2 linked regions of the Mus musculus genome follow. The protein of the gene in region 2 interacts with the protein of the main gene of each other region in a pairwise test. Links are inferred from orthologs where the notes say so. Each region holds a gene or a part of one and is shown on either strand. Other genes may lie near its edges.

Region 1 (15,777 bases), on a different chromosome or scaffold from region 2:
ACCTATAAGAAACAGGTAAAGTGGAAGCGCAGTGAAATCCAATCCGTGGTGGGTTTGAGTGGTTCTCAACATAGTAGAGAAGGCAGATAGTGACTAGAATGGAAGTATAATATTGTAAGAGCTAATCTAATTGTTGCTGTCTGAAAGAACTGCAGGGATGGAGATGGAGAGGAGCCTGAGGAAAAGAAGGTACAGGGACAGGCCCAAAGTGGGATCCAGCTCAAGGGGAGGCCTCAAGGCCTGACACTATTACTGAGGCTATGGAGCACTCACCAAAAGGGACCTAGCATGACCACACTCTGAAGGACCTAACAAGCAACTGAAAGAGTCAGAGGCAGATATTTGCACCCAATCAATTGACGGAAGCTGCTAAACCCTGTGGTTGAATTACAGGGAAGAAGCTGAGGAGATTGACTCTGTAGGAGGACCAGCAGTCTCAATAAACCTGGACCCCCTGAGATCTCTCAGATACTGAAACACCAACCAGGTAGCATACAACAGCTTTTATGAGCCCCCCCCCCCCCCCCCCCCCCGCCAACACATACACAGCAGAGGACTGCCCAGTTTGGGTTTATTCAGAGAAGATGCACCTAACCCTCAAGAGACTGGAGGCTCCAGGGGGTGGAGAGGAGGTATTGGATGTGGTATGGGGGTATACCAGGAGAGGAATAAAATCTGGAGTTTAAAATAAAAATATTTTTTTTCAAAAAAGAGCTAATCTAGGAGAAACCCAGAGGTCAAACCTTTTAGAGAAGATAGCGTTAGGGCTGAAAGGTGGTACAGAAGCCAGAAAGCTGGGAAGAGGTATAAGCATATGCTGACTTGGCATGTTCACAGGAATTTCTGAGAGAGACAGGGACTAAACTGGGGGAGAGTAAAAAATGGAGAGGATGGTTTGGGGAAGGGAGAGGCTGGTACCAGAAGGCTGTAGGAAGCAAGACTCACCAAAGTGTTCGCTAGTGATGAATGGGGGATGAGGTCTTTGCTTTAGAAATGATTCTCTGGAGATGACTGGTAAATGGAGGGATGAGCACAAGGGAAAACAAAGAAGACGCTGAAGTATGTGACCAGTGAACAGTCTTTTTGTGTTCCTGGATCCTGGTTCCTCCTCATCACGTTCCTCATTTCTTTTTGATGTTTTACAGATGCTCGTGGATGTATTCAGTCCTAATACTTCCATAAAAAGGTTCATGACTGGCATATGCAATAGTGTCTGGGTTTGGTGGTTGTTTATGGGATAGATCCCCAGGTGGGGCAGGCAGTCTCTAGATGGTCCTTCCTTCCATCTCAGCTTTGAACTTTGTCTCTGTAACTCCTTTCATGGGTACTTTGTTCCCCATTCTACAAAGGCACAAACTATCCACACTTTGGTCTTCCTTCTTCTTGAGTTTCATGTGTTTCACAACTTGTGTCTTGGGTATTCTAAGTTTCTGGGCTAATATCCACTTATCAATGAGTGCATATCATTTGTGTCCTTTTGTGATTGGGTTACCTTACTCGGGATGATATCATCCAGATTCATCCATTTGCCTATGAAATTCATGAATTCATTGTTTGACAGAACCCTGATATAGATGTCTCTTGTGAGGCTATGCCTGTGCCTGGCAAATACAGAAGTGGATACTCATGGTCATCTATTGGATGGACCACAGGGACCCCAATGAAGGAGCTAGAGAAAGTACCCAAGGAGCTAAAGGGGTCTGCAACCCTATTAGGGGAACAACAATATGAACTAACGAGTACCCCCCTAGAGCTTGTGTCTTTAGTTGTATATGTAGCAGAGAATGGCCTAATAGGACATTAATGGAAGGAGAGGCCCTTGGTCTTGCGAAGATTATATGCCCCAGTACAGGGGAATGCCAGGGCCAGGAAGTGGGAGTGGGTGGGTTGGGGAGCAGGGCAGGGGGGAGGGTATAGGGGACTTTTGGGGTAGCATTTGAAATGCAAATGAAGAAAGTATCTAATAAAAAAAAAAGATGTTTATGACTATTCAGAGACTTCCTCCAGGAAGGAAAAGTGATACCACCAGAGCAAGGAGACTGGACCAAGATGTGACCATCACTGTATCATTTGTTTCTTTACTACCGGCTCAGTAGTGAGTAGGTCTTCTGGCTGAGGCTTCTGGCATGTGTGTGCATGATGAATATTGTCTTACTCGTCAATTTCTAAGAAAAGTAGAGGCCACCATTGGCTCCTGCTCTCCATGAGACACTCTTGCGAATAGCCACAGCTCAGATCAATTTTACCTTCACCAAATGTTGTAATCACAGGCCAGTGGCTGCCATTCTTGGGCTTGACTTAGATAATTAGTGAACCCCAGTAGCATCATACAGACATGTGCCAAACAGCAAAACGTCCAAGTCACATGACAAAATTATCCCTGTGAGAAGTGGAACGAGGTATGATGCTCTTGCATCTTGTTTCAACTCTCATACTTCACATGACTGTTCTTATGCCGTTTCTCACAGTCTCCATAGTGCCATACTTGCCACATCCCAGGACCTTGAAGAGACATATAGAAGACCAGCCAGTGGATGGTGGCATTTCCCATCTTTGTAGGTATCCTATGGCTTCAGACACAGATAGAAAGTGAAAGCCATATGGTCCTGGTCATCACCCAGGCTCAGTAAATGGGTGGAAAAATAGTGTTACAGAATCCTAGGTGACACACAACAGGACGGTGATGAAGACAGCTCCACTGTTCCATGTAGAGGGTACTCAGGGCTAACAGAATACCTCAGTGGAGGACTGGATGGTATTCCCTGCTCTCCAAAGGTTGTGGTTTTATTTTCAAAGTTTGATGAAAAACATTCCTCCTTTTCTTTTCTATTAAAAAAAAAAAAAACCTGAAGGGATAAGCTCACTTCTGAAGTGTTCTGTCTATAGAGTAATCAAGTAGTTTTAATCTTGTAAAATTTTTACTTAGTTTATTATTTATGTGTGTTATATACTAAGTGTTTTCTGTTGGCACACACATGGTGTGTGTACACGTGAATGTGTGAATGAAGGACAGTGGTTAACCTTGGTTTAATTCCTTAGAGCTTCTTGATAGGTCCTCAGCCTCTCTGGTTTGGTTAGATGCTCTGACCACTAAGCCCCAGGGCCCCACTTGTACCTACTTCCCTAGCCCTGGAATAACACGTGCATATCATCACTACTGGTTTTCAACATCGATGCTATGAATCAAACTCATGTCCTCATGCTTGCTTGGCAACCACTTTACCAACTGATCCATCTCCCCAGCTCTTTGGAGAAAGTAGGTGTTAAAGAAGACCTAGTTCTCATCTTCAGCTATTTGGAAATTTATTTCTTGGGAAAGGAGCAAACTTCTTTATCTAGAGGTCTTACTAGGTGTGCTGGTGATGGTCTTGTGGATGTAATTTTCAGCTATAGGTAAGTACAGCATTCATATAATAGGACTTCTACATCAATGTTTGGATTTTCCCATGGGGTGGTAACTTTTCCTTCTGTATTTTGTTGGAGATTGCTCCAGAAGCTATGGAATGCTTAGAAAGAAAGAAAGAGAGAGAGAGAGAGAGAGAGAGAGAGAAAGAGAGAGAGAGAGAGGGAGAGAGAGAGAGAGAGAGAGAGAGAGAGAGAGAGAGAGAGAGAGAGAGAGGAAGGAAGGAAGGAAGGAAGGAAGGAAGGACAAACCATATCCCCGGGAATGACTTTTTAGAATGAAAGAAGTTTGGTTTCTGGAACTATGATAAAAAGATAGAAATAAACATGAATACCATCCATAGTCAATAGTTACAGACTGGAAGTGAGGAGGACTGAAGTGAACATCTGTGCGTGTTGGGGTGTGCTTTGTTTTGAAAATCAGTCAGTGTTTATTATTCAAAACTGTCTCCTGCACAACAACTATTGTCTATTTCTCAAATTACGTTATATTTGCAATTCTGTAACTCATCCTTGAATCAAATACAAACTGAAGTAAAAGTAAACTTTCTGGAGAGATTTATTTTAATTCAGATGACTAAACAGGTATTATATTAGGAGACACAAGTTGATAGGAATGATCACAAGGACTTTCCACAGTCAGTGATGGTGACTGAATCTAGATCCGACTCCACCAGAACATCAACAGAGAAGGGACTCCGATCAGAGCCCATCTGTAACGCACATGATGAAGGCATCGCTGTTCTTTCTATGTCCATGGAGAGATCAGCAGTGCCCTTCATGAAGAAACTGGATTTTTCCATTGCTTCTCCTGAGGGAAGACATGAACAACAAGAGTAAACAAAGGCAGAAACAGAAGTTGAGAAGAAGTACAAAAACAAAGAAAGTGGTGGTGGGACCTCCTTATGGCTAAGAACAGGACTGCGTAGCAGAACCTCTTTCCACAAAATGGCGAGTCTGAGTTCCAGAGCACCATGCTGTTGCCACAGAGCAGAAGTTCTCTGCTTCAATCATGGTTCCATCCCATCCACTTCCTCCACTGATCCCAGAGGCAGGAGGATTACTTGAGGTAGCAAAAGAACAAAGAAGACTCCACAAAAGGAGTTGACGTAGCCTATCTTTCGGCTCTTCCTGGTCAGCAGGGCAGGGATGCAGCTGGATACTGTAATAGTGAGGACGCCTTCTACCATGTCTCCCTCTCAGGACCTCATGCCCAGTTTCATGGTCCAGGGCTGTAGATGTGTCTGGGTTAAAGAATCTTTCCTTTTGTGAAATGAAACTTTCCAAACATAAATGTATATGTAGGCATGTTCTCTGGTCTCAGACCCAACCTGTGATTCTAACTTGGGGGATCCGTCCCATAATCAGCCACCAAACCCAGACAATATTGCACAGCAAGATTTTGCTGAAAGGATCCTGTTATAGCTGTCTTGTATGAGGCTATGCCGGGGTCTAGCAAACACAGAAGTGGATGCTCACAGTCATCTATTGGATGGAACACAGGGACCCCAATGGAGAAGCTGGAGAAAGCACCCAAGGAGCTGAAGGGGTCTGCAACCCTATAGGTGAAACAACAATATGAACTAACCAGTACCCCCAGAGCTTGTATCTTTAGCTGCATATGTAGAAGAAGATGGCCTAATCGGCCATCACTGGGAAGAGAGGCCCTTTGGTATTGCAAACTTTATATGCCCCAATACAGGGGAATGCCAGGGCCAAGAAGCGGGAGTGGGTGAGTAGGGGAGCAGGGCAGAGGGAGGGTATAGGGAGCTTTCGGGATAGCATTTGAAATGTTTATAAAGAAAATATCTAATAAAAAAAGATAATCACAATAAAGAGAACTCTGGACATGAGATAAGTGTCCCAACATAAGTATCACTGCTAAAAGATAGTTAGCAATAATAAAAATTAAATTTGGTATATGATAGCAAGAGTGCTAAGTTGCATTTTACATTTTAAAAATGTAAATGGTATTTGCCTAATAACTATCCTTCCAAACACTGTGCAGACTAAACAAAATACCTAAACTAACCACGTCGATGGGATTTTGAATTACTAATTTCAGCCTGCATCCCTCATTTTAGATAAAAGGAAAGTCAATCAATTTCAGTGGCTATCTCATTTAAGACTACTGATGCTTAGAGTCTATAGGAACCTGAGACTAAAGGCCAGATGCATTAAAAGTGCATAGTATTTTAGAAATCACATAGGATAGTGCATTTTACCTATTCATAGACCTTTTAAAAATAGGAAGTTGTATGGAATTCCACTTCATAAAATAGTGAAAATTGAACTTGGGTTTGGGGGCCACTCCAAATGGCCAGTTTTGGTAACTCATGACTTGCCTCTAGATTACAGAGGCAAATTTGAGTCTGAAAAATCAAGAACTAAACTCAGAATTACAACAATTGGATCTGTGAGCCGGATAAGAGCAGTTCAAGCTGGCAGAAGAGTTGGCCAATTTTTGTTCCCACATTCTATTCTGCATGAGAAAAAGTAGACCGTAAGGAGTTAAGAGGGATCTTGGGAAGGGGAAGGATTTGAGTAGAGAACATGGTTCCCAGACATTGTTTCTTTGTATTTGATACTCACAAGATCTCTGTACACAGCTTGCATTTATTCCCGTAAGTGATATAGTCAGATCCACAAACTGGTATGTTTACAATGGGGCAAGGGATGGCCACCACTGGGTACTTCTTGTATATGTCACAGTCCACCTAGTCAGACACAAGAGAATGTCCTGATTTTCTCAAATACCACAAGGATAACTACATTGGGTCAACTAGACAGGCTACATACATCTCAGCAGTTCTGATGCTGTTGAAATTGCTTTTATAAAGAGTGGCATCATCATCATGACAAATACCAGTAGTGCCAGAACCCTTCCTAGTTTTTAATGCCACACTTGGTGAGCAATCGCTGGCCATTTCTTTGCCTTACAATTATGTAGGGGGTTGGTCTGATGGCGCTTGTATTCTAGTGTGAAATACTGGCTTCTCAAGTTGTACAGATCCTCACCTACACCAAGTGATGCTATGTGAACCTTGCTGCTCATTTTAACTGGTCAATAAAAGGCTAGAGCCTGTGATTGGGCAGTGGAGGGAGAAAGGTGAAACTCAAGGATCCAGTGAGGGAGGTTGCTGGTAGAGGCAGAGGAGGAAGAAAGAAGACAAAGGTGGAGGAGGCAGCCATGAGAGGACATGGACATGAGCACATGGCTAGGAGAAACAGCAAGTAACAAGGGACTTTATAGCTGGGGAGTAAGTTAGTATAGCTCCAACCCTCCAATCCAGGCTTACAGTTTATAAATAAAATACCCGGATTGTGTATCTTTTATATGGGCTAGCTAGGAGGATGAATTCTTTCCACATAATTAACTTTTTGTTGCATAAAATCCCATTTTTTTAATACTCAGGAGGCGAGTAAGAAACATTCTACTATATTGGCCATTTACAAATGTAGAAAACGTTTCTCCATCTGTGTCTGTCTCCTCTGTTGCTTTCCTTAAATGATCATACATGAGCGATGTATTGATCTTTCATAGATATTTGTTGAATAAGAGACAGCCAATAGAAATTAAAATTTTTATTCAACATACTTACTGTTGCTGAAGGGTGGCTAGTAACTTCTGAAAGGAAAATACAATGAAAGCATTACAAACAGAGCAAATCCTGGGATTTCATTACTCAAAGCTGATTTGTTCTTCAGTTAAAGACATTTCATTTCCCCCGGCAATGAATTTCAGCATAGACCCTATCATTATGCAAAATCACAGCAGTTTGCTTAGGGACTTGAACAGCCAATGGGTAAGCCCTTGAATCAGGAAGGCACATTTATTTATTCATTTTGGAGGCTATGGTGTATTTCAAAAAGCCAGTTGCTACTGAAGCCTTATCTCTGATATACTTTCTCTCCTAATCAACACAGACAGATATAGGGGGTAGATGTGGTGGTGCACACATTAAACCAAAGCATTCAGGGGCAAAGACGGGCCGATCTCTGTGAGTCCAAGGACAGCCTAGTCTACGTAGCAAATCCCAGGCACCTACAACTACATAGTTAAACCCTGTGCCAAACAAACAAGCAAACAGTAAAGTAATTAGATATCATTAAAAAAGTTAGAAATTTATTTTAACTACATACCTCTTCACAATTTAAAAGCAAAATCATTAACTTGAGACCTCCAGAGAAGTGTCTTTTAGTTAGATTCTACTATATGGATCCATGAAGACACCTAAGGACCTCTGTATTTCTGCACCATGGAACAGCCATCTACTGACACAGCTGTAAGTATCCTTACACAATAAATATTTATAGAGAAATTAGGACATTTTTTGGTCCATGGGTGCCAAGTAAGAATCCTTGCAAGGGAAGAGATTAGATTCCAATCCCTCAAAGTACAGCCAGAACCACGATCCCTCTCCCTGATCAGATCTGTTTCTCTCACTTTAAATCCACTTGATCAGATATTTATGTCAGCAGCTTAGATCCTGGGAGAAAGTACATGAAAAATAAAATCTTCAGGACTGTATGTGACACCGTCTTACCCAACTCACCAGAGCAGTTGCAGACATAGGTTGCTGCGAAGAGCAGCAGGAGACCACCAACAAGCTTCATGGTGGAGAGCTCTGTGATGCAGAGGCTAGTGATGCGAGACTGGCTTGAAGCTGAATGTGCCATGTACTCAGCGAGGGGTCAGGTTTATATGGCAAGCCTCGGTTTCTCCACCTTTCCTGTGAGCTCATCCAAAGTCAGCATAGGACCCGAGTGGCTCGCAAAGCACGCCACACCCTGAATGGTGCTGCCACACCTGTCAGCCAAATTCTGGGTCCCTACTCACTGACAGGTGGGTGATCTGAGGTGAACAGTATTTTTCTATCTGTTGCATAAGTGAAGACAGTTACTTAGACTAAGCTTTGCACAGAAAAGATCAAGCATGGATTTCTTGTTTTAGATAAGAAACAAAAGAATATTACGTGCGTGATTTATTCTACTCAAATGTAAGGTTTTAAACACAGCCAAGCCATGGTATATCCACATTTTAGGCTCCCGAGACAATACAGTCTCATTCTCCAAGCAAGGAACCTATTAAACATTCAGGGGTCTTGCAACTCTAACATCTTTGGGACTTATGAGGCTTTGAGAAAGGTGTTGGCATTTCCCAGCTATATAATCTTGGATAAGGCATTTATGAAGCTGTGAACTTGTACTAGTCAGAAAAGCGTGGTCATATTATGGTTACATGTATTTTTGAGATTTCTATAACTTACAGATTGTACCTCTATGAATGGGCGCTTCTGTGGTGCTGATGCATAGATAGTACTCTGGTTGCCAGATGGGCAATGTTGTCACTGTTTAGAATAACGCTGTCCAGTGCGGTGAAGACATATCCCAGATGGTGTCCCTTTCCAGCTACGAAGTAAATGTTACATCCCAGGAGAGATACCCTTGTCATTGTTCTCCCCTGACACATGGCTATTAGTCTCATGATCTTTTCCAGCCGTAGAGGACATGGAATGGATATGGTCATTTTTACTATGTCTCCAGAAGGTCAACACAAGAATGAGTACAAGTAGTTGGCAAACATTAAATTATATACTGCATTGTCCAGGCACAATTATCCAACTGCCTGCTATTTGTCTGTCAAACTCAAGGAGATGTGTGAAAACCCAGAAGACAGGAGGATATAAAGCTCATTGTGTAGTAAGCTTAATTTTGTACATTCTGAAACATAGCATTTACAAATAATAGTAAACAAATTATAAATGACATCACCTCTCCTTAAATGTTAGACCTTAACATATTTCAGGGAAGGCAGTACAATATTGTTAAAAGTGTAACTATTGTATATTGTGGATCTCATTTGAATTGTTCATTTAAAGCCATTGAATATGTCAGTTAACTTTGAGAGATATTGATTTATCTCTGAAACACAAATCATGTTTACCTTGTGGGATATTTTGGACTGTTAAGTATAACTTCAAACACACACACACACACGCGCGCGCGCACACACACACAGAAGGTGGGTAGCATGTCTTGATAATTTTATTGTATAAAAATCACAAAGTACAATTATACATACACCCAAGCTGTCATATATACATACATATAATCTGTATATATGAACATGTACATGTGGGCATATATAAAATTACATATATATTATAGTTCATTTGTTCTAGGACAATTTGAATAAAAAAGATGAGATTAAGGAACAAGTGTTTATAATACCATTAAGAAACAATCTGAGCTATATAAGACTACCTGAAACAATACATTATTATACTGTTTTATAGCAAACTTTTTTATATATATGTAGAAGGAATAAGTAGTAAAATAATAGACAGTATATAACATACACGTTACTTATTCATTATATCAGGTACTGTGAGCACATATAGTTGTATGCTATGTGCTTTTATATGACTAGCAGTGTGGTTGAGCTGAATACATTTCATCACTGCATATAATCTCATCATTGTGAAACACAACTAATATGTATCTCATGGGGCAAAGTCATGCTACAATAGCCAAAAAAGACCTAGGTCATGGGGATATTTTTCAACTTCATTATATTCTTCATGGACTGTGAGTCTATGTGCAACATGTTGTTGAATAGAATACCAATATCTAAAATATGCTATGTATATAACTCTTATTTTTTCGAGACAGGGTTTCTCTGTGTAGCCCTGGCTGTCCTGGAATTCACTCTCTAGACCAGGCTGGCCTTGAACTCAGAAATCCACCTGCCTCTGCCTCCCAAATGCTGGGACTGATTAAAGGCATGTGCCACCACTGCCTGGTGTATATAATTCTTGTGTGTGCATGTGTGTGTGCCGTGTCAAGTTCTAGGCTCCTAATTGAATATTGATATGGTAGCTAATGTTGTGGGATGCAATTTTTAGGCAGTTTATTGCCCTAATTTTATCAACTTATAATTTGAAGACATAATTTTCTTAAGATCATGATTCTAGTTACTGAAGGACAATATGCAGAGCAGAGTCACCGGCAAGAGCTGATGTTCCTAATAGGGACAAGCAGTCCTAATTTCTCCTGTCTGATATGAAAGATTACAGATAAAGAATACCAACAGAGTCCGGGCGTGGTGGCACATGCCTTTAATCTGAGCACTCAGGAGGCAGAGGCAGGTGGATTTCTGAGTTCGAGGCCAGCCTGGTCTACAGAGTGAGTTCCAGGACAGCCAGGGCTACACAGAGAAACCCTGTCTCGTAAAACCAAATAAAAGAGAATACCAACAGAAAGACACCATGTTTCAAGGTGACCTGTAATTTTTGCAGTTTGAAAAAGGACTACCTTTTTTTTTTTTAAGCAAAAAAGGCTTACAGAGCATTCTTTTGGATATTTGAGCATCAGAGAAAAAGAGAAAGGGCAGAACCATTGCCTTCTTTCAGCATAGTCTTTCATATACTGAGTCTCTGAAAGCCAAGGGCAAATAAAGACATAGGGCAGATGGTGGCTAACCAGAACCCTATAAAAGGAAGACACCAGCTGAAGGCATAGGTGAAGCCATCCCCTCTGTCATAGAAGGCAGATGATTCGGTAAGTAGGTGAGTGTGGAGGTTGCTATTTGGAAAGATTAGGAAATGAAGCCCATCATAATCTGCTTTTGACAACAGAAGAACGGAGGCGTGCTGTAGCTTGAAGACATTTGGCACCAACATTGTTGGGAGTATGTCAGATCATTCTAAATGGATATAGAAACTGACGGCCATTAGGCAATGCTTCAGCCTGATTAGTAGCTTGTTGTGCACTTCTCTCAAAATCCATACGACACAGAGTGGAAACTGCGGGAGAGTGAGTTTTACGAATGTTGACTGAGCAGATCTGTGACTTCCAACAAGCATATCTTTGTGTTAGGGAGTGTCAAGGTTTGGAAGAGAAACTCCTGTTAGACTCTGAAAAGTCAAGTTTCAAACAAAATGCGGACCTGGTAGGTATGGTGAATGTAAGTAATTGTTTATGTAGGCTATGGCTAGGAGGCAAACATCAGATTGAATTTGTCAAGGGTGGGGCCAGGGTCATGATACTCTGGGTTTTTACAAAAACAAAGCAGAGGCCGATGGGTGGAGACTCCTTGTGAGGAGGAGCGAGGTCAAGGGATCAGCTATGGGGTTTGACAGGTTTTGGAAACTATGTCTGTGGAGTGGGGATTTTTCACTCTAAACCCTGAACTATACACTAGGAGAAGAAGTTCTGGTGTGGAAAAGCCGCTTTCTTCAGATTACAGGCAGCTTGTTCGTTTCTCAGTGTGTGCCTTCAAAGGATTCAAAGCCTTGAATCCTGTAGGAAGAACAGACTTGTGGGACCATGCAGTGGGAGAAAGTGAACAATCAATGCAAAAGCATAAATGCCAAGACAAAAGTTTCACATTTTTTTCTTAACCAGATTTGGGGTACCCCCCTCCAAGAAAGAATAGGATGGCTCAGGGTTATGTTAGAATAAGGATTGATTGAGGTGTTCCTGGGCCAGATCTTTGGAGGGACATAAGAGAGATTGCATCAGAGATGGGATAGAACAATGTCTATAGCAGTGGACTGTCGTAAGAACTAATGTACATTAAGTCATTAGTATGTACTGAATCTGTGTGTCTATGTATCAGGGTTAGTTCATCTCAAACTTAGAACGAGCCTCTGAGATAGGTTCAAATAGTTGCTTTGTTTTAGCAGAGATAAGAACTAGGACTTAGAAGAGTAGCAGTTTAAGCTAAAGAAGATACACTTTAATTTTGCTATTGTAGTGAAGTGTATGGCAGAAGCAGTAGATTTGGAGTTCCACTGACCAGTGAAATAATAAACATGAAACTAAAAGCATTCAGGAAGACATTGTAAATGAGTGGCAGAATGGGCTGGGCCATGGGTCAGAGTGTGTGGAATTCTCCATGTGTGATGTTCACTTGGAAGGAGGGAGGGTCCTTGTGTGGGGGAAGTCCCAGCGCCACTGTTTCCTACCCTACCCTATACACCTGTCTATGTAAAGAACAGCATAACAAAATGAAATGTCTTTTATTTCTTAGAACTTTCTGCTGCCTCTGCTTCTACTAACATTAACTTGAAAATCTATCCTGGGGGTGGGGCTTATAGCTCTATCTCAAGGGTAAAGCAGTTGCCTACCACTCATGAAATTCTGAGTCCTAGCCTAGCATGACATAGAGAAAAACCCCACCCCCAAATTAACATATAAAGTGTGAAGAATGAGAAGACTCATACTCTGCTGTTTATTCCCCTTCACTCCATTGCTTGTTGCCATACTGGCTTCTGACCACGGTCCCCAGAACTCTGTCCCTATGACACCCACAAGGCATACCTCCTAAAACCTCAAGGCCTTCTTGGGACCATCTCAAACTGTGGTCAATGCATTCAGCTGAGCCAGCTCTGGGCCATGGTTTTTTTCTGCTCTGTTCATTCAGTGTCTACCTTCCTACGCTGGCTCAGTTTTCTTTGCCCTTTCTTGTCTTTTCTTGACATAGCCTGCACTTTGGATCTTGCTCTTCCTCTGTGTGGAGAAGACAGAGCCTGAGGGATCTGGGCATTGGTATTCTGGCCTTGTGTGTGGCAGGGCTGTTTCCAGTTGCTTATGGGAATAGGGAGTTTGCAAAACCAAGGGTCCTGTGTATCAGCTGCATTCAATTTCCTTTGAGCCACTGATGATTGACTGGTCAACCGGAGTTTTCCCTGAGACCATGATGTATGAAGGAACACAGTTCCTTCTCAAAACCAGGAATGAGTTTGTCATTATTGGCCTGTGGCCAGGGCCTTGGGTAGCTGTGGCTTCATACATTGAGAACACATCTCGTTGCACCATAGGGACTGTGGTTATCAGTCCCAAGGTGTACTGGTTAGTTTTGTGTCAACTTGACACAGCTGGAGTTATCACAGAGAAAGGAGCTTCAGTTGAGGAAATGCCTCCATGAGATCCAACTGTAAGGCATTTTCTCAATTAGTGAACAAGGGGGAAAGGCCCTTGTGGGTGGGACCATCTCAGGGCTGGTAGTCTTGGTTCTATAAGAAAGCAGGCTGAGCAAGCCAGGTGAGGCAAGCCAGTAAAGAACATCCCTCCATGGCCTCTGCATTGGCTCCTGCTTTCTGACCTGCTTGAGTTCCAGTCCTGACTTCCTTGGTGATGAACAGCAGTATGGAAGTGTAAGCCGAATAAACCCTTTCCTCCCCAACTTGCTTCTTGGTCATGATGTTTGTGCAGGAATAGAAACCCTGACTAAGACACAAGGCTATAGGTCTATAAGGTTTTAAGATAACCCATGTTTGGTTAGCTCCTCGCTGACTTTGTCCCATTGTATCATAGTTTCTCGTGATTCTGTCCAATTTCTCCCTTGAACATTGTACATAAGATGCTATACTTCTTAATAAGCTTGCTTGGGATAAGACAGAGTGTGCACAAGACCTCTGGACTCAGCTTTTATGTTCTCTATTTTCTGTCTTTTCTTTCACCTATCCTGGCATCTCCCCTTCAGGATCCTATTACTAAAGAATGGCCTGATCCACATCAGTAAATAGTTCCAGCTAGTAGACAAGGGAATGAGAATAGACTATAACCAACAATTTCCCTTCTGATTCACATCACATATCTGGATATTAGTGGGTACCTACATCACTGTCAGGAGCAATAGATAAACATCACATCTACTATGCTTGGAGCTGAAAGGTTGCCTGTAACCCAACAGTCAGACAGCATGAGATGATGTATTAGTTAAGGATGCTGTAATAAAATTCCAAAAGCCAAGGAGTTTAAACATCAGAACTTTCCTTTCTCCCAGGTTTAAGGCTGTATCTTGGCTGGTTTCTCCTGAGGCTTCTATCTTTGGACTCCAGAACACTTTGGATGGTTTAGTCTCTGAGCACATACACCTGGGTGTCTGTCCTATCAGGATTCCAGTCCTACTAGATTAGAGCCCCATTGTTATGACCCTACTTAACCTTCATTTATTGACCAGAGTATAATTATACCTTTGTTACTCTTCCCTTTCCCTGTGTGTTTCTCCTGTCCACAGTGTGTTTCATGATTTAGCCAAACTGGCCTCCTGAAAATGCCAGCAAATTCATTTCTTCCTGGGTCTGCATTTTGACTCATTCCATCAATAAACAAATAATATTGGAGACTGGGAATGGGAGAAGTGTGACTCCCGAGTGCTCTGAACTCCCCTTAACTTTCTCAAGGTGCTTTCTATTCCTCTGTTTGTGCCTGGATCTGTACAACCCTATGTTTTTCCTATGTGTGCCTGCCTATGATAAAGTTTTATGAAGTAAGTATAAGAGATGAACAATAATAACAACTGGTAATACAACAGAACAATTGCAAAACATATCCTAATGGGGGTTGTGATACACGTTATGGTATTGCATGTGAGCTAATGCATGGTGATGTTTGATGATGCACTAAGATAAGATAAAGTGAATGATATAGATGTCCCAATGCTGTGCTTCATTGCTGCAGAGTGGCTACTTGGATAGGAACAATATGATGCACAACAGCAGCAGCACATCTGACAACCAAGAATGACTAATGGTCTAATAGCCTATATGTTGTGTGGGTATGTAAGAGAAAGGTATGATTCATATCCTGGGTGAGTTGTAACATAATGCTGTGAGGTTGTATCACTCTACTTATAATAGCACATAATTTAAGTTAATGAAGTTTTTATTTTTTAACCTGTGTAATATTTCTATAGCATAGCTGACTGGGACACTTAAATGCTAGGAAACTGTAGATAAAAAGAGACCATAGGTTTCTTCCCTCCAGATGGGGATCCCAGATTTATGGGACTCCTCATATCCTTGTCTTCTGTCAGAGTATCATAGAAAGGCCTGGGCTTCCCCATTCCTTACCTCTGGGTATAGAACCTAGACTACCAGTTCTCAACCTGTAATATTGCGCATCCACTCACCCTATGTTGGGACTTCAGACTCTTGCTGCAAACTCCACCTATACCCATTGCCTGCCAGCTCACCATATGTCTTCTTTGTCATATGTCATTTCCTTGCTTGACTTCTCTAGGTAGGGATCCTAGATTCCTCCTGCCAGCTTCACTCAGCCCTGCCTCTTGCTTAAGCATCATAGACTCCATGACTGCTCTCTCACTCCTCTTTTCCAGAGTAAGAACCACAAATCCAACTGCCAACTCTGTCACTCAGCTGCCTATCAGAGAATAGTGGGTCCCTCCTTGCAACACGTTCCTCCTCTTTAAATATAGCTCCCAGCCTCTGATCAGCACTCCACCTACCCTATCACCTGAGGAGGAACCCTGTGCATCTCCCCTAGAGTTCTCCTGGCTCAGAAGTTTCACTTAGTCCTAGCTGAGCCAGGACCACATCTGATACGCCATTTGAGCATCAACAC
Region 2 (15,248 bases):
CAGTGGCCCGTCACAGTACAGAGTTCTGGGGTCAGTACAGTACAAGTCACTGGGGGTAGGAGTGCGTGACAGGGCCACGTGGCGAGGGCCGGGAACTGTGAGGCCATGGAACTGTGGAGCTGTGCGAGCCCAGGACGTCGTCTCTCTAGGTGCGCAAGATCGCGAGCTTCGGGCGGCGTGCTGCAGCACTGCCTCGTCCGGCTTGATGTCCAAACGGCAGCGGACATGGGGGACAGGTCCAGAGGGTGGTTCCGGTGGTGCGCAGCGGCCTGGGGTGGCGCATAGAGGCGCGATGCGTCCGGGGCCTCCCCGCTGTGGCTGGAGCTTGATGGGGTGCAGCTCATTAGCGAGAGCTCTCAGCGCAGGATACGAGGGCTCCCGGCGCGGCGACCCCTCCACCCGCACTGCACGCTGGGCTTCCCGACCTCTGCGTTGCAGTACGGGCGGCGAAGCTGGAGCAGTCGCCAGGCCTTGGGACGCACGGGGCGCGCTCTTGGAACGGGTGCGGCGCCGAGGCTCGCTGTCTCTGGGTCGGGCGCGCGGTGGCGCAGGTTCAGGAGGTGGCGGCTCTGGGTGTGTCTCCATGGTGGGCTCGTCCAGTGCCTCTAAGAAGTCAAAACTACGGCAGTGGCGCTTGTTGAAAGGCGTGGGCGCAGCAGGCCGGGCCACGGATCGCTCACATGGCTGGCGTTTGGACGTGAGCCCTGGGTCCACCACCTTGATGTCCTGGTACACGGTCGACACCAGCAAGTCCGGCGGGTCCGTGCGGGTCATCTTAAAAGACGTCCCCAGGCTGGCAGCTCCAGTCACACGGCCTTTCGGGGATTTTGCCCTGGGAGGAGATACCGGTCAGGGCAGCCTCCTCTGCACCCCAAGCCCTTTACCCCACCCCACCCCACGTGCTGGTCCGGCTTACCTGGGGCATAGGGGATGGTGCAGCCTTGGCTGCAGGTCATGGTCAAGGCTTCTGGTGCTGCCTCCATGCCTATGTTAGATGTACCTGCAGGAGAAAGCTCACAGTCCATGCGACCTGTGGGGTAGATGGGCCAGGAGAATTTAGGCTACTGTGGACCTTCTTTGTAGAGGGAACTCCTGAGTTAAACCTGCCAGGCATTCTCTCCCCCTACTAGGGTCGGTTGGGCAGGCTTAGGTAGATCAAAGCGGGACGTGATCTCAGCACTACTGCCCTCTGGTGCCTACAGTTGGAACGATGCACTTTTAGATTTCCTTACAGGTAGACCCTCTGATAATGCAGAGTCCCAGGTGAGTCAATGAATGGTTCCTGCCTGCCGACTAGGCTGGGCAGAGAACTCTTCTCCTAGCACTCAAGTCCTTTTTAACTAAGCGTAAGTCCCCTCAACTCGATGAGGTCCTAGGCAGAGGAATGATCCCAGAGTTTTCTTGGGTCTCAAATCCCTCTTCCTTTTGCATAAATCTTGGACCCCAGTTGCTTGAATGAAACCCACCAAGCTTGCTGGAACAGAGAAGGCTACAGCAAGACTCTCCTGCTTTGCAGAATTGCACATGGACCCTTCCCCCACCCCCAGTGTGTGCTAAAGCCAGGTTTAGGCTACAGAACCACGTGGGGCCATGTGAGCCACGAGTTCATGGTGTCCTTCCTCTAAGCTGAAAACTACCACTAGTGTACCAAGCCAGGAGGCTGCTAGCTAGGAGGAGGCAGAGGAGAGGGCGGGAAAGCCCCTCCCCAGGACAGAGTCCTTCCCACTCTGGCTTTGGAAAGCTCCATGGAAACGTGTGGTTGTTCATCCCTGGAGCTATGGGCTGAAAACGATCTAGGCTAATGTTCAGATGTGGGCCACCAGTGTCTGTGGTCTCCAGGGCCTGGAGCTGGCTAGAGAAAGAGGGTTTAAGAAGGCGATCACACACACACACACACACACACACACACACACCCTCCCCCCATAATGCACCTACTCCCAGGACATCTGCTCCAGAGGAAGTTGAGAGTGTGTTGGGGCCTGGCAGGACTTGTAAGTGGATGGGCCTTTCGGGTCTCTAGTCCAGGTGTACAAGGGGCTGTTAGAGGGGTGCTCTTTGGAGTCAGAGCTACTAAGTACCAAGGCTTGTTCCAAACCCAGGTTCATGCCGACCCTATTAAGACCCCTTTCATTCTAAACTCAGTGCCAGGTCAGAGTTTGGGTGAGATGACAGGGTCTGAGGCTCCGCCCCAGGAAGGTGACAGTCGGCTTTGCTGGCTGCAGCTGTCAGGAGCAGTGCACTGTGACACACGCTCCCTTTGGGATGGGGTTGGGGCTTGCTCTTGTATCCTAGGTATTTTGAAGGCCCTTCCCAAATAGCAGTCCTGCTTTGGCCCGTCCTGGAGCAGCCATCAGCAAGAACCTAGTCTGCGTTGCTTGGGGGCGGGGACTCCTCATCCTTCCGTGCAGCCCCCTCCCGTGCCAACAGCTCCACATGCTGGGCAGTTTGGCTTGGCCTCTTACCTGGTGATTACTCCACGAGCCGAGCCCGAGTAGTCTGCATAGCCCAGGTCGGTCCCAGTGTGTACCTGGCCCCGCTATAAATATATATATATATATACATACACCCGGTACCAGCAGAAGCTTGGAGGCAGCAGCTGTGATCCTGGCCTGGCGGCTCAGTACTGCCCCTAGTGGCTACCAATAGAATAGCACTTAAAGGGGCCGCGTTATAAGGTAGGTGTATACTGGGACCACAGACGACCTAGCTCTCATTTTAGGCGGTGTAGAGTGAAGGGTAATGTATAGCATCCCCAAAGCACAAATCTTTCGGTCTGAACAGGGAGTCCCTTGCACCAAGAGAAGCCTGCCAGAAGGATTCCAGGCAGGGTCCTGTAAGGAGCCAGAAACCTTGGCTTGTCTTTAGAGAAACTGGGTTTGGGGAAGTTTCCAGAATACACGTCTGTGGTTGGACCTGGGTGGGAGCAGATGCCCATTGGCCTCTCCTCAGGAACTGTCCTCTTTGGCTCTGAAGACGCCAAAATCTCGGCAGGTGCCCGGGAGCCAGATGGCTTGCTCAGCCTGGAGTGTAGCTGCAACTTCCAGTGTCCAATATAGCCTGGGTGGCCACCGCCTGCTTCCTTTGGGGGAAGTCTTCAGGAGGTTCACTTCTTAAGCCACAACCTCATTCTGGCCCTGCGTGCCTCTTGCCAGAGGCACTGGGCCTTCCAGCATCCTAGCTTGGTAGATGATGGGCTATAGATGCCAGACCTGCCTATTTAGGCACCAGACCTGGCAAGATCCCGGTGCTACGGCTTATTGGGCAGTAGTGGGGGTAATTTACGTGTAGACCCTTTCTCTACATCAGGAGTACAAAGTCTGGGAGCTAAAGGGCCAGGTAATGTTTGTCCCATAGTGCCTGCTCAGTTATCAATTGTCCTGTGTACACAGCTCCCTAGCAGAAAAGGGAAGCCCCCCTCATAGCACCCCCACAAGTTCTAGGGAAGTACTCTCAGCCTTGGCCCACAGTAGGCGCAGCACTATGCTCCACCCCCAACGTCACTAGCAGTGATAAATGCCTGCCTCTGGAGGGTTCTCATGGCAACGTGTCCACAGTGGGCGAGGGTGGAGAGCTGCCAGCGGGGGCGAAATTCTCAATTGCAGGCGCCCCCAGACTCCCAGCAGGCAGGGAGGCAGTGCAGAGCAGGACACAACTACCTTACCAGGGCCCCAGGGCCTGAGACTCTCAGGTATTCTCCCTGCAGTAACCTTGTATCAGCCTGTGGTGGTAAGCCCTGAACCATGGCCACCTTGGTCCTCTGGATTACATGGTATGGCTAGGTACTAAGTCCTCAGACCACCCTTTGGGCCGAATTTTGGCTTAACAGCACCTAGTCCATTGTTTGGCCTCATCTCAAGCTGTTTAGGGGACCAGAAAAAGAGTCACACACCACAGTAAAATCAGAGAGCTTTATGGTATGGGTCTGGAGTGTCTAAGAAGGTGCCCTCTGGGCTCACCTGCGCAGGCGCTCAGCGGGCAGAGGCGCAGCTGGCACACAGTGGCAGCCCGTTAGTGCCTCTCCCACAGGAGAAGTGGTACATTGTGTTCTCTTGCCAGGCTTACCCAGTGCGGGGCCTGGGCCACTTTGCAGTAGCAGATGCTGCCATGCCCTCCTGAGTGACACATGACACATCTGTGCTCAGGGCAGGACCCTGTGCCACTCTGGATCCATGGGGAAGAAGGTCCACAACCCAAGCCATGCTGTGGCTCTGGGAGAGCCCCGGAAGGCAAGCAGGAGTGGGGCTGGGTGGTGGGCATTAGAGAAGCCAAGCAGCCCCACGCCCTGCCTCTGTAAACAGACCCTGGTGGGTCCCTTCTCGGCCCCAGGCACATCCCTGAGAAACACCGGGGACTGGTTGCAGCTCTTTCTGGGAGGCCAGGTGATCCACCAAGCCAGCTGCAACTTTATTCTGTCCCCTCCCTCCCTGCAGAGCAGGCTTCTGCTGGGTTGAGGCCCAGCACCTGCAGCGCCTGACCCAAGGGCCTGAACACCACCAAGGTCTTCTGCACAAAAAACAATGTAGAGTGGGCCAGACCACATGGGGGCAGACATAATGGCTGGGGGACATAGGTGGCAGGGTGGTCCTGGGAATGTGGGTGCATAGACAGCAGCCTCCCAGCCACTGGCAGCCCACCTCTTCCCAGACAATCAATTGCCCTAGGCATGTTTAGAGCTCCTCATAGTCCCCACCTCCAGGGTGGCGGCTGCCAGGGGCCCCACCCCCCAGGAAGGCTTCCAGCTCATCTGCAGCCTTCTGCTCTTTGCTCCGAGGGGGCTTCCTCTTCTTCTTCCGATCCTCCTTGCCCTCCTCCTTGTCCTTGCTCTTCTTGTGTTTGCTTTTCTTTTTTGTAGTCTTTTCTTCCTCCTGAAGGTCATGAAGAGCAGAACTAGAGTCAATGGGCAACCCACAAGGCTAAATCCCACATTCTAGGAGCCTGGATGGCTTGGCTAGTTGGGAGGTTAGTGACAGAGTAGGTACCTCTTTGCTTTTCTTCTTCTTTTTCTTCTTCTCCTTAGAGGGAAGTTTGCTGTCTCTATCTGCACAGAAAAGGACAGCTGAGCTCCTACCTGCTACCACTTTGTAGAGTTAGGCAGAGGCACTGCTGCAGAGACCCCATTCCCAACAGGGCGTGGTCCCACAGGCAATTTATGTATTTTTGTGGTGGTGAGTCTTGAACAAGCCTTCAAGTAATTTCTTCCCCTCCCTATGGGGCTGAGAACCTGACAGTACAGTCCTAAGCTGTTTGCTGGGCTGACATGGCCCAAGTCCAAGGACTTCTCCAGGCAGCCTGGGCCGGCCCGAGATTCCCAGGTATTCTCCCTGCAGTAACCTTTTATTAGCCTGTGTGGTTTTTTTTCCCCCTCCCAAAAGAATTCTGTCCCAAAGGCTTGGGACACCTGAAAGCATGGAATGTAGAACATTTGGTAGAGGTGAGGACCCATAGGGAACCATGGATAGAGTGACAGTGACAGTGTTTAGATGACTATTCTGGACCACACTTGGGTGCACATTTGCCAGCTGGTGTGACAGTTTCACCAATCTCACAGCTAATTACTGTGGTGAAAAGAGAAACCATAGGCAATGTAAATGTAAACACAGGAGTATCACAGACAAGGACCTCTAGGATCCAGCAGGTTCCAGGCCCTCCTACCTTCGTCACTGCTTTCCTTAGGTCCCATCTCCTCTAGGCCCAGCCCAAAGAGATCGGAGTCATTCTTCAGTCTGAAAGCACCTGGGAGCTTGGAAGGTGGAGGTGGCTGAGCAGGGCCAGTGTCCTCATCAGTTACATCAGAGAGGTCTTCTCTTACTGGAAACCTGCCCTGGAAAGAGAGCAGCTGGTAGGCCGATTGTGCCCTGACCACTCCGAGGGATCTGGGAAACAAGGTTGGCAAGTTCACTTACGACTCCAGGGGCTAGGGCTGGATGGGAGGGGTAACCTGACCCAGATTCAGAAAGATCAGCAGGGCCTTCATGTGGACAATGGGCCCTCTCCCATGGACTCTCATTCACTTTCTCCAGCAGGCTTCAGCCACACAGTAAATAAGAAAGGATTGTGCCTCTGGGGCACTGGAGCCAGGAACATTCTCCTGCCTCTCGTCAGGCTCTGGGAAACAGACCTTCTTGATTGTCCTCTAGCTCTGGAAGGATGGTGCCTGAGCTGCCCAGTCAGCACCTGTCCTTACCATTCTCCTCTGTGTATCTGATTCATCACTTTCAAAGTCTGGGTCATCCATGACGAAGGACAGCATCTGGGCAGCAATGGGCCCCTCAGGATCACTCTCTGATGACACCTGTTTGTCCTTCCCTTCCTGGGGTCTTTCAGAGTCATCAGTGGTGAGACCATCTGACCACGGTGGCGTGCCTCTCGTGGGAGCTCTCTTCTTTTGTGGATGTGAGACCTTGGTGGAGGACCTTCACATAAGAAGAAATGTCAGGAACTCAGAGGCCACCCTGGGTTGCCACCTCAGCTGGACATACTCTGGGAATCCCAGCCCATACCATTTAGTCTCAGGCTCTGAGCATTGCTGAGGGGCCACTCTAGGGTGGCCTGCCAGTCCTTCGGCTTCCTCCTCACTTGAGAGACTGATGTTCTTACTGGGCATGGGATCCGAGGGCAGCAGGGATTTGCCATGTGTCTGGTCTTCTATGTCCACATCATCCTGGAAACCTGCCACCATTGGGTTCCCTCCTAGGGCCTCCCCATCGTCACTGCAAAGAGGGGGGGGTAGGCAGTCAGAGGTTCTGAGGGGGCTGTGTGTTGCTGATTACCCACCCCACTGCCTGTAGAGCTGCCCTGTCTGTAGTACCATATCCCAGTGGCAAGACCTTCTGGGCTGTTACAGGGGTATTCTGCTGTCAAGAGGGGGACTAAATAGTGAGGGAAGCACTGCCTAGTTGCTGCTGGTCAGTGACAGAATCAGTGGGAGGAGTCCAGAGAGAAGCCCCTAATTTATTTGTTTCTGGAAGGGAAGCCCTTGGTCCCATACAACATGGTGATGCTGGAGATGATAACAGTCACTCAACATTTGATCTGTGAGAGGGAATAATCTCAGGCTTAACTGTAGACAGATGTTCAAGTGTCGTTAGAATTCAGAGAAGGGACTGAGAAGGGCTAGCTGCAGGAAATTAGACCTGGCTAGGGCTTGCTTCTCTGGGTCTATATGGAGACCCAGGTGGCCTTCACTATACCTTACACATAGATTGGGCCTTCAAGAGTGCCCATATCCCTAGCAGGGCGTGGTGGCACACGCCTTTGATCCCAGCACTCGGGAGGCAGAGGCAGGTGGATCTCTGAGTTCGAGGCCAGCCTGGTCTACAGAGTGAGGTCCAGGACAGCCAGGGCTGCACAGAGAAACCCTGTCTCGAAAAACCAAAAAAAAAAAAAAAAAAGAGTGCCCGTATCCCTGATAGGCCATCTGTCAAGGCTCCTGCTATCCTAGGAAGATTTAGCTTAATGTTCTCTAGTTTGCTGTGGCCATAAACTCTGCCTCAGTCCCGGGTAAGTCCTTTGTCTGTATTCCCCAGGGTGGATGGCAATGATTGTACTGAGTGGGCTTTGACATGACCTAAGCCCTTCCCTCTGTTCCTCCATTTGTCCTCAAAGCTAACTGCCAACCTAGTAAGCACCGGAGGCTGTGCCCACAATGGGGTTTTGGAGACCCAGGTATGAATGGGATGGGGAAGCTCTGTTGCTTGGTCCTTGAGGTGGACCCTGTGCTCAGCTCTATCAATCTGACCCTTACCTGTCACTATCCTGCTGGGGACCTTTGGCTCCAACTTTCTTGTCTTTAGGCACACTTGTGTCTTCCAGGAAGCTTCGGTCAAGGCCATCTTCAGGGACAAAATCCTCAACATTCTGGACTCTTGCTGGAGCTTCGAGAGCTGGAGCTGGCTCTACAGAGAAATGCTGTTTCTTCCTTATGTGGTCCTTGCCCCCATGCTAGGCAAGCCCTAAAACTGTGCCTGTGGGATTGGGACTTAACAAGGCATGCACCCAGGCTCAAGGTCCAGGCTATTTTAGAACCAGGCTAAGGACTGGCTGGCCCATGTGACTTTTCAGGGGCATAGGGACATTCCAGTGAGGAATATGAAGCTCAAGATGCCAGAAGGTGGCCCCAAATTCACATGAGAGAGCTGCTCCCAGGCTTACCTGGAGGTGAAGGGGTCACTTCTGCAGCTGGTGAGGTCCCAAACAGCCGAGAGATGATACTGCGACGCTGGGCTGGAGCTGGGGCTGGAGCTGGGGTTGGGGCTGGGGCTGAAGAGTGTACAGAGGAGGGCATGGCCTCCAAAGAGGGTACAGGAGATGGTGCTGAGGGACAGGTGGAGGAGACACCTAGAGACAGCTGAGGGGCAGGCTGGGGTGTGCTGGGGCTGGAACTCCCTGTGGATACAGCACTTGGAGGCACAACTGGCGACTGGGAGCCTGAGGATGGGCTCTGCCCATTGGCTGCCAAAGGGGATGCGTGGCCTCGACTTCGAGCCTCCATCATTTCAAGGAAGCTAGGAGGGGCAAAAGGGCATGGAGTGAGGAACCTGCTTCTTCTCGGCCCTCTTTTTCCATGGTTTTCAGGCATCAGTGTGTCTTTTACATTTATATTTAGGCAGAGGATAGGGCCTGTCTGCCAGTCAACTGTCCCGTCCCTGGTACCCAGACTAATTCCTTGCCTATCCTGTCTCTTTAGCACTGTAGCTCCCAAGCCCATGCTCTCCCTCTGCACTGGCATTTCCTCAGCCTGGGGAACTGAGCTGCACAGCAGAGGTGCAGGACCACCCACTCCTGTGGAATCTGGGTAGGCCAGTAGCTGTTAGCCAAACAACAGTGAAGTAGTGTGGCTGGTTATGGTCAGTGAGGAAGTTAGCAATCGCACACGAGGAGTGGCTCTCATCACAGGCATGTGCTGACCCACACGTAGGAACCATAACGTATGTCTAAGCACTTTGTAAGTTCTGTAGGCTCCAAAGTACTTGGGGGTGTAGAGTGCCAGAGTCGACACAACCCATCTTCAGGAGTACCTGTCCTCACTTTCTATAAGAACTGAGAGGGGATGTAGGGAGACTGAGGCTGCTCCCAGGCCAGCATAGCTCAATTCAAAGTACTAGTCCATCTGTTTTAGAAAAATGTTGATCTGACTATTAATTAGCTCATATTAATAATTATACCCCAACAGGTGAACAGGAAGGGCTCTGGGCAAGGACAAATAGCATGGACGCAGGTCCTAGACCGCTGAGAGGAGCTGCTGAGCTGTGTTAGTCCGATGCTCCCCACACTGCTCTACACTGAGTACTGCTAAGGTCTTGGCTGAAGGACACTCAGGCTGATTGTATGTGGTGCTTTCTCCACTGCCTCATAGATTCAGACCAAAGTCTGGCACTCAGCTCTTATCTGTGAACACTAGGGCCTACTGGCAACAGGGTACAGGACCCATCCTCCCCGCTCAGGGTAGTGAAGGCCAGCATAGCTGTAGATGCTAGCTCACGTACATGCTGTAGTTCTGGTCCTCGGTTTCCTGCTGCACTGATAGCTCCTCTAGTGTGGCATCGATGTCTAGTTGGTTTGTCTCCAGCTGCCTCAGTAGTGTCTCCCTCTGTAGAGGAAGTAGACAAAACTGAGTATGCTTCTTCCCCATTCTACCGCCTGTTCCTGTGAGAGACATGAGGTCTGGCTGCCTGCAAGCTCAGCTTTTATGGCTTGGAGGATATAGGTCATGGGGAACCACACCAGAAAGTGCCACCTTCTGCTCCACATCTTTGGTCACTAGCATGTTTTGTTGGCTACAATAGCCTATCAGGCCACAAAACCATGGAAACAGGCGCTTAAGGTGCAGGGGCAGCTCTCGGGGCAACTCTAGGTGAGAAGCTCTGCCAGGTAAGCCTGGGTAAACCGCATACTTGTAGTCGGATGAACAAAGCGGATCAAATCAAGTCTCTGAGTCCAGCTGCCAAGGCTGTCAGTCAACATGGCTTCTTGCATTTAAATTTAATCTTAGCCAGGCGGCAGTGGCACACGCTTTTAATCCCAGCACTTGGGAGGCAGAGGCAGGCAGATTTCTGAGTTCGAGGCCAGCCTGGTCTACAGAGTGAGTTCCAGGACAGCCAGGACTATTCAGAGAAACCCTGTCTCGAAAAACCAAAAACCAAAAAAACCAAAAAACAAACAAAAAAAAATCTTAAAAATCAGCAGCTTTTCAGGCTGTGTAAGGACTGTGTTCCTAATTGGAAGAGGCTCTGGTGGACAGGCACTGCCTTCCAGAGAAACAGGGCTTGCCCCCGGCTCACAGTGGGGTCCTTTCAGCACAGAGCAAACAAATCGAATAGAAAAAGTGGGAGTTAACTACAGACCAAGAGACCTGGGAGTTGTTTATACTCTGAAAAATGAAAAGAGATACACAAGAACGATGCAAACAACACTCAGGATTAACAAGCAGGCATACCACAGACTGACGAGGCTCTACTTTAAAGGTGAACTCGTGCTATACCAAGAGCAGCCTAGACAGCCACATCACATACATAGCATACAGTCTATTTAGACCTTACCCTGAATACTGACCAATAACTGGTGATTCAAATAATTGTGGAGTCATGGTGTTTTGTTTCTCTGTGAAGCCCTGGCTGTCCTGGAACTCATTTTGTAGCTAAGGCTCAGAGATCCACTTACATCTGCCTTCTGAGCAGTGGGATCAAAGGCGTGTGTCACCACACCTAACTTTTGTTGTTTTTAATTTTTTTGAAAATAAGACTGGTTAATGTTTCTTGTACCAGGGTCTGGCCTTGAACTAGCTATATGGCTAAAGATGATGCTGAACTTCCTTTCCTCCTGCCTCCACTTCCTCAGTGCTATGATTACAGACTGTGCCACACACGGTTTGTACAGTACTAGGGACTGAACCCAGGGTATCATGCATAGTAGGCGAGTAATCTAACAGAGTTACATTCCCACATCATTATTTAATGCATGTAAATGTTTTGTCTGCAAGCTACGTCTGTGTTTCACGTACATGTCTGGTGCTCAGAAAGGCATTTCAGATCCCTTGACAACGGACAGTTGTGAGCCAACATGTGGATGCTGTGTATTGAACTGCCATTCTCTAGAAGACCAGCCAGCCCCTCCAATATGGAATGTTTCAATCCATGGGTGCTTCCAGGTACCCACTACCCTGCCAGCAGACAGTGGCCATCAGGTTCCCTGCAAATAACCATGGAGGAAAGCTATACTGGTTTGGGTCTCAGCTCAGGCTTTTAGCACCAATGACTATTCTGGCATCCCTTTGTGTCCCTTGATCTCCCTTGGTCTAAGTCAGTGGTAAAGCTTTCATAGAATGGAGCAGTATGAGGAGTTTGGTTAACGGTTTCCTCCTAAACTGAAACATCCATGCTGCAGAGCTCTTTAAACAAGAAGGCAAACAACTGAAAATAGTTTCAGGAAGTCCCTGAAACTGACCAGATTGACTAGGCCCTCCTGGCCCAATAAGCAATAAAAGCTGAATCTCAGAGAAGAAAGGTTGCAAGAAGATCCAGACCAGACCGTTGCATGGGAAGGCTGTGCAGGGTGCTCCAGGTTCCCAGCTTGTGTGAGCTGTCACCCATGCTTGGGTGGGCTTTGGTGATGCAGTCTTTGATTCATTTCTGCTCCTGTAAGGAACTCCTCATTCATATGGATATAAGTTACCCCAACAAAACTCATTGGTTCACCAAGCTGGACTCTGGTGGTATCCATACTTTGGGATCCCTAACTGGATTGAGGAGACAAGCATGTTATCCCAAGCATGTCTCCCCAGAAGAAGTTTGGTGACTCAACAGGAGTCTTCAGCCAAAAGGCCTCTAGTAGAGGCTCCTATCATAGCCACCCCTGCAGGAACCTCACATTCCTCAAAAGGAGGAAGAGAGGAGGAAAGGAAAGCTTCACCTTTCTAAGTGAGTTTGATGTCTTGGATAAAGTATGAAGGGTTCCTAAGAGCAGGGGAGGCTACAGGTACCCAGGTCCAGAAAGGTAGCCAGGCCTGTTTAGCCTTTTCTTGTTCACCAGAGACCCCATACAAAGCTGTTTGTCCCAAAAGGGATGTGGATCAGGGATTGGCCCTCTCTCTGTTCTTATGCTTAGAACCCAGAGCCTTGTTCCACCTTCCACAGTCTATTGCTCTCCTAGCTCTGAGAAGCTATAGCGTACCTCAAGACCAGAGACAAGGACCAGAGCTTAAGCAGGGTAGGATTCTGGGGAGAAATTGGGACTAGTTGGAACCTTTAGTCTATAGAATGATACTGGTCCTTTGGCTTAGACAAATGTAGAAACAAACTGCAGGCAATAGGGACTGGGTGGGGATATGGCCATTTTTTTACTACCTCTGCCACCTTTTCTGTTTTTGAGAAAGGGAGTCCAGGCTGCTCTTGAACCTGTGATATAGAAAGGATGACCCTGAACCTCTGATCCTCTTGCTTCTACTTCCCAAGTACTGGAATTACTGGCATGTACCACTATGAGTTTTTGGGGTGGGTCTCCCTCTTATTGAACCTCTTTCTGTATCCTTAAACCTGAAGTGATCTTCCTGACTCAGCCTTCTGAGTGCTGGGATTACAGGTTTGTGCCTCCACATACAGCCTTTGCCACTTCTATACATCTAGAAGGTTCCAAGAGGAGCACTAATTAAAAAGCAGGATAGGTGCAGCTCTTCACCCTGAAGGCCACTCTACTTGCCTCCGCTGTATCAGGAAGGCTAGATGCTTGTAGCAAGGGTACAGGTTTTCCTTTTTTCATGAGCTGGCCAGAGGGCCATGGTTCCCAGAGCACAGCCAGCACGTGAATGTAGTCACAGAAACTGCATACCCTGGAACCTGCCTCTTGTTGAAAGACTTGTTGTGACTGGGACTTCCTCCATAGCTATCTGTTTATCTGGGAAATGAGGTATGCACTTCAATTGGTGCCCCACAGGGGACAAGGGCTCCCTCTACAGGCTGTACTGACTTCCAATGCCCTTAGAGAGCAGGACATGTTACCAGACTCTTGGCCGCCACTATGAGTACTGTGTGTGCCATGTCCAGCTCATTACATACATCAGTAGCCAGCTTCCAAGAAGGTGCCCAAGGGTGTTATCAGGCTTAGGAAGCAGGGCACTTCTTGTGCAGAGTCACAAAAATGATGGTTACCCTTTTGTTTTCCCTACCTAGTACGCACTTACCTGTAGTTGCAAAAATGGGATGTTGAAGAACTTATGCAGGTACTTTAGACCAAAGCTGTTCTTCATGGAAGATTCAGCATAGCGGAAATAGGAGGAACCTGGAGGTCTGTTTTCAAAGAAAGATAAAGGAACTTGATGGGCAGTGTAGCTTGACTTCAAAGTCAAGGGTCACACCTAAGCCTACGCATCCCGCCACCAAGCTTCCTTCTGGCAGCCAGCTCCTAAGGATGTTTTACAGCATACTCCTCTGGGAGTGGTCTGAAGAACCAGACAAGAGCCAGGCAGGCCCCATAGTCCTGGCATATGGTCTTCACATCTTCTGCAGCATTACCATCTCGTGGAAACCTGGAATTCCTTACCCTCTCTGGCTAGGTGCTGTCATCTTATCTCCAACACAGGATAAGACCCTGCCTGTGCTGCCCCCAACACCACCAGAGCACGTCACAGGAGCAAAAGTGGTAGCACCCACCTGTCCAGATGCTCAATGAAGTCCCGCACATCGTCTGGTAGAATGACTCGATGCTCGCCCATGTCACGGTAGTTGCCCAGCACACACACCGGCACATGGGTTGGCACTTTGGGAAGCTCCCGGAGAACATAATTGAAGGTCCTTTGAAAAGGGAGGGAGTGTTCTGCCTTAGCTGTGTGACCCTCAGAGAGCTGTATGTACTACCTTTTTGGTCTAACTCCCCAGAGCACTTGTCACCTCAGGCAGGGTTCAGAGATGAACAAATGCTACAACCTTCAGCTGCATCTCTGGTCACTGCCTCTCTCAGAGAGCAGTTCCCCTACACCTCAATTCAAGGTGCCTGTTCTTTTGTCTGTAGTTGGTATGACACCTGTCTATGTTGCTATGAATTGGCTTCAAGGGCTGGTGGGGTGGCTTGGTGGATAGAAGTGCTTGCTGCTGGGCTTGATGACCTGAGTTTGATCTTTGGGGCCACATGGAAAGAGCTGATTCTCATAGCCTGTCCTCTGGTCTCCATCACACAACCCCCTAGCCTCCCCCTTCCTTCTACCCCCCCCCCAACTGCCCAGAGCCTCACCTGTTTGTAGAATCACTCTGAACTGAGCATGTCCTAAGGTAACCTGTCCTTCAGCTCTGCTTCACACTGAGGCTGGGGTTGTAGCTCATTCACTTCTCCCTGCTTGTTGGCTCTTGCCTCCTGGTTACCATCACTGAAGTGTCCTTAGTGACGCGTTTGTCTCTAGGACATTCCTTATTCTGCAGGGTAGACCATTCTGTCTACAAAGTCTCCAGGTCTCCAGGACTGACTTAATGTGGGGGTGCCCTGTAGTTGCACTTTATAAGCCATCCCAATGTCTCCAAATGGCTTGTGAAGCCCCAGCCAGGACTGGGCTATAGTCAGAGGTCGAGCACTTGCTTAGCATATGCAAGGTCCTAGGCTCACTCTCCAGTCCTCATGCCCTGCTCCCCTCCCCTTCCTCCCCAACCATGAGTGGCAGTGTATACCAATAACCACAGTACTCAGAAAGCTCAGGTAAGAGGATTATGAGTTTGTGGTCAATTTGGGAAGTATAGTCGTTCCAGGTTAGACTAAGCTACACAGAGACCTAGTTTCTATAAAAATCACTAACACCTCCCACAGTCAGTGCAATGAGCATGACCCAGCTTCCCTGCCAAGCAATTAAGAACGCAACACGTTTTTAACTATGGCAGCTTCTCTTGTTTTTGCTGCATTTGCTTGAAACATCTCCTGCCCCTTTTATCCTTATAAGACACTTGAAGCGTGCTTGCTGGCTTGCAATGGCAGCAGCTGTGTGAACATGGATGCTTCCATCCTTCACGATCAGTGCTCAGACTCTTAACAGTGTCTGCTGACTCCCAGGACAAGCTCAACTATTTTAGTGGAGCCCACAGTTAAGAGACTTTTAATTGTAAAAAGACTTTGGATTTTAGAAGAGATGGATATTTTAAAGAGATTGAAATTTTAAAAATATGTAAAGACTGTGGGACGTTTAAAGTTATTTAGATCTTGGGGATGAATAAGAATGTAAGGGTTGAGGCTTTCTAGTGATGTGTTTGTGTGTCAAGTTGACAAGGGGTCAATTG

Evidence for each region.
Region 1: the proteins of Rabl6 (region 2) and Spink7 interact in binary tests that used the Homo sapiens proteins (3 or more experiments, as listed by UniProt). The link is inferred for Mus musculus from reciprocal best matches to the Homo sapiens genes RABL6 and SPINK7.

What each region holds. Positions count from the first base shown.
Region 1 is NC_000084.6:62,588,246-62,604,022, forward strand, and holds Spink7 (serine protease inhibitor Kazal-type 7 precursor), read right to left. Parts: upstream 8,020-15,777; coding exon 7,959-8,019; intron 7,031-7,958; coding exon 7,005-7,030; intron 6,120-7,004; coding exon 5,995-6,119; coding exon of another isoform or gene 5,991-5,994; exon of another isoform or gene 5,934-5,990; intron 4,214-5,933; coding exon 4,168-4,213; downstream 1-4,167. UniProt on the Homo sapiens protein: Probable serine protease inhibitor.
Region 2 is NC_000068.7:25,579,124-25,594,371, forward strand, and holds the end of Rabl6 (rab-like protein 6), read right to left. Parts: intron 13,785-15,248; coding exon 13,644-13,784; intron 13,281-13,643; coding exon 13,175-13,280; intron 9,590-13,174; coding exon 9,486-9,589; intron 8,505-9,485; coding exon 8,152-8,504; intron 7,896-8,151; coding exon 7,745-7,895; intron 6,711-7,744; coding exon 6,501-6,710; intron 6,414-6,500; coding exon 6,185-6,413; intron 5,822-6,184; coding exon 5,653-5,821; intron 5,039-5,652; coding exon 4,980-5,038; intron 4,866-4,979; coding exon 4,668-4,865; 3' UTR 3,894-4,667; downstream 1-3,893. Other genes in the region: Ajm1 (apical junction component 1 homolog), read right to left, coding at 1-774. UniProt on the Homo sapiens protein: May enhance cellular proliferation. May reduce growth inhibitory activity of CDKN2A.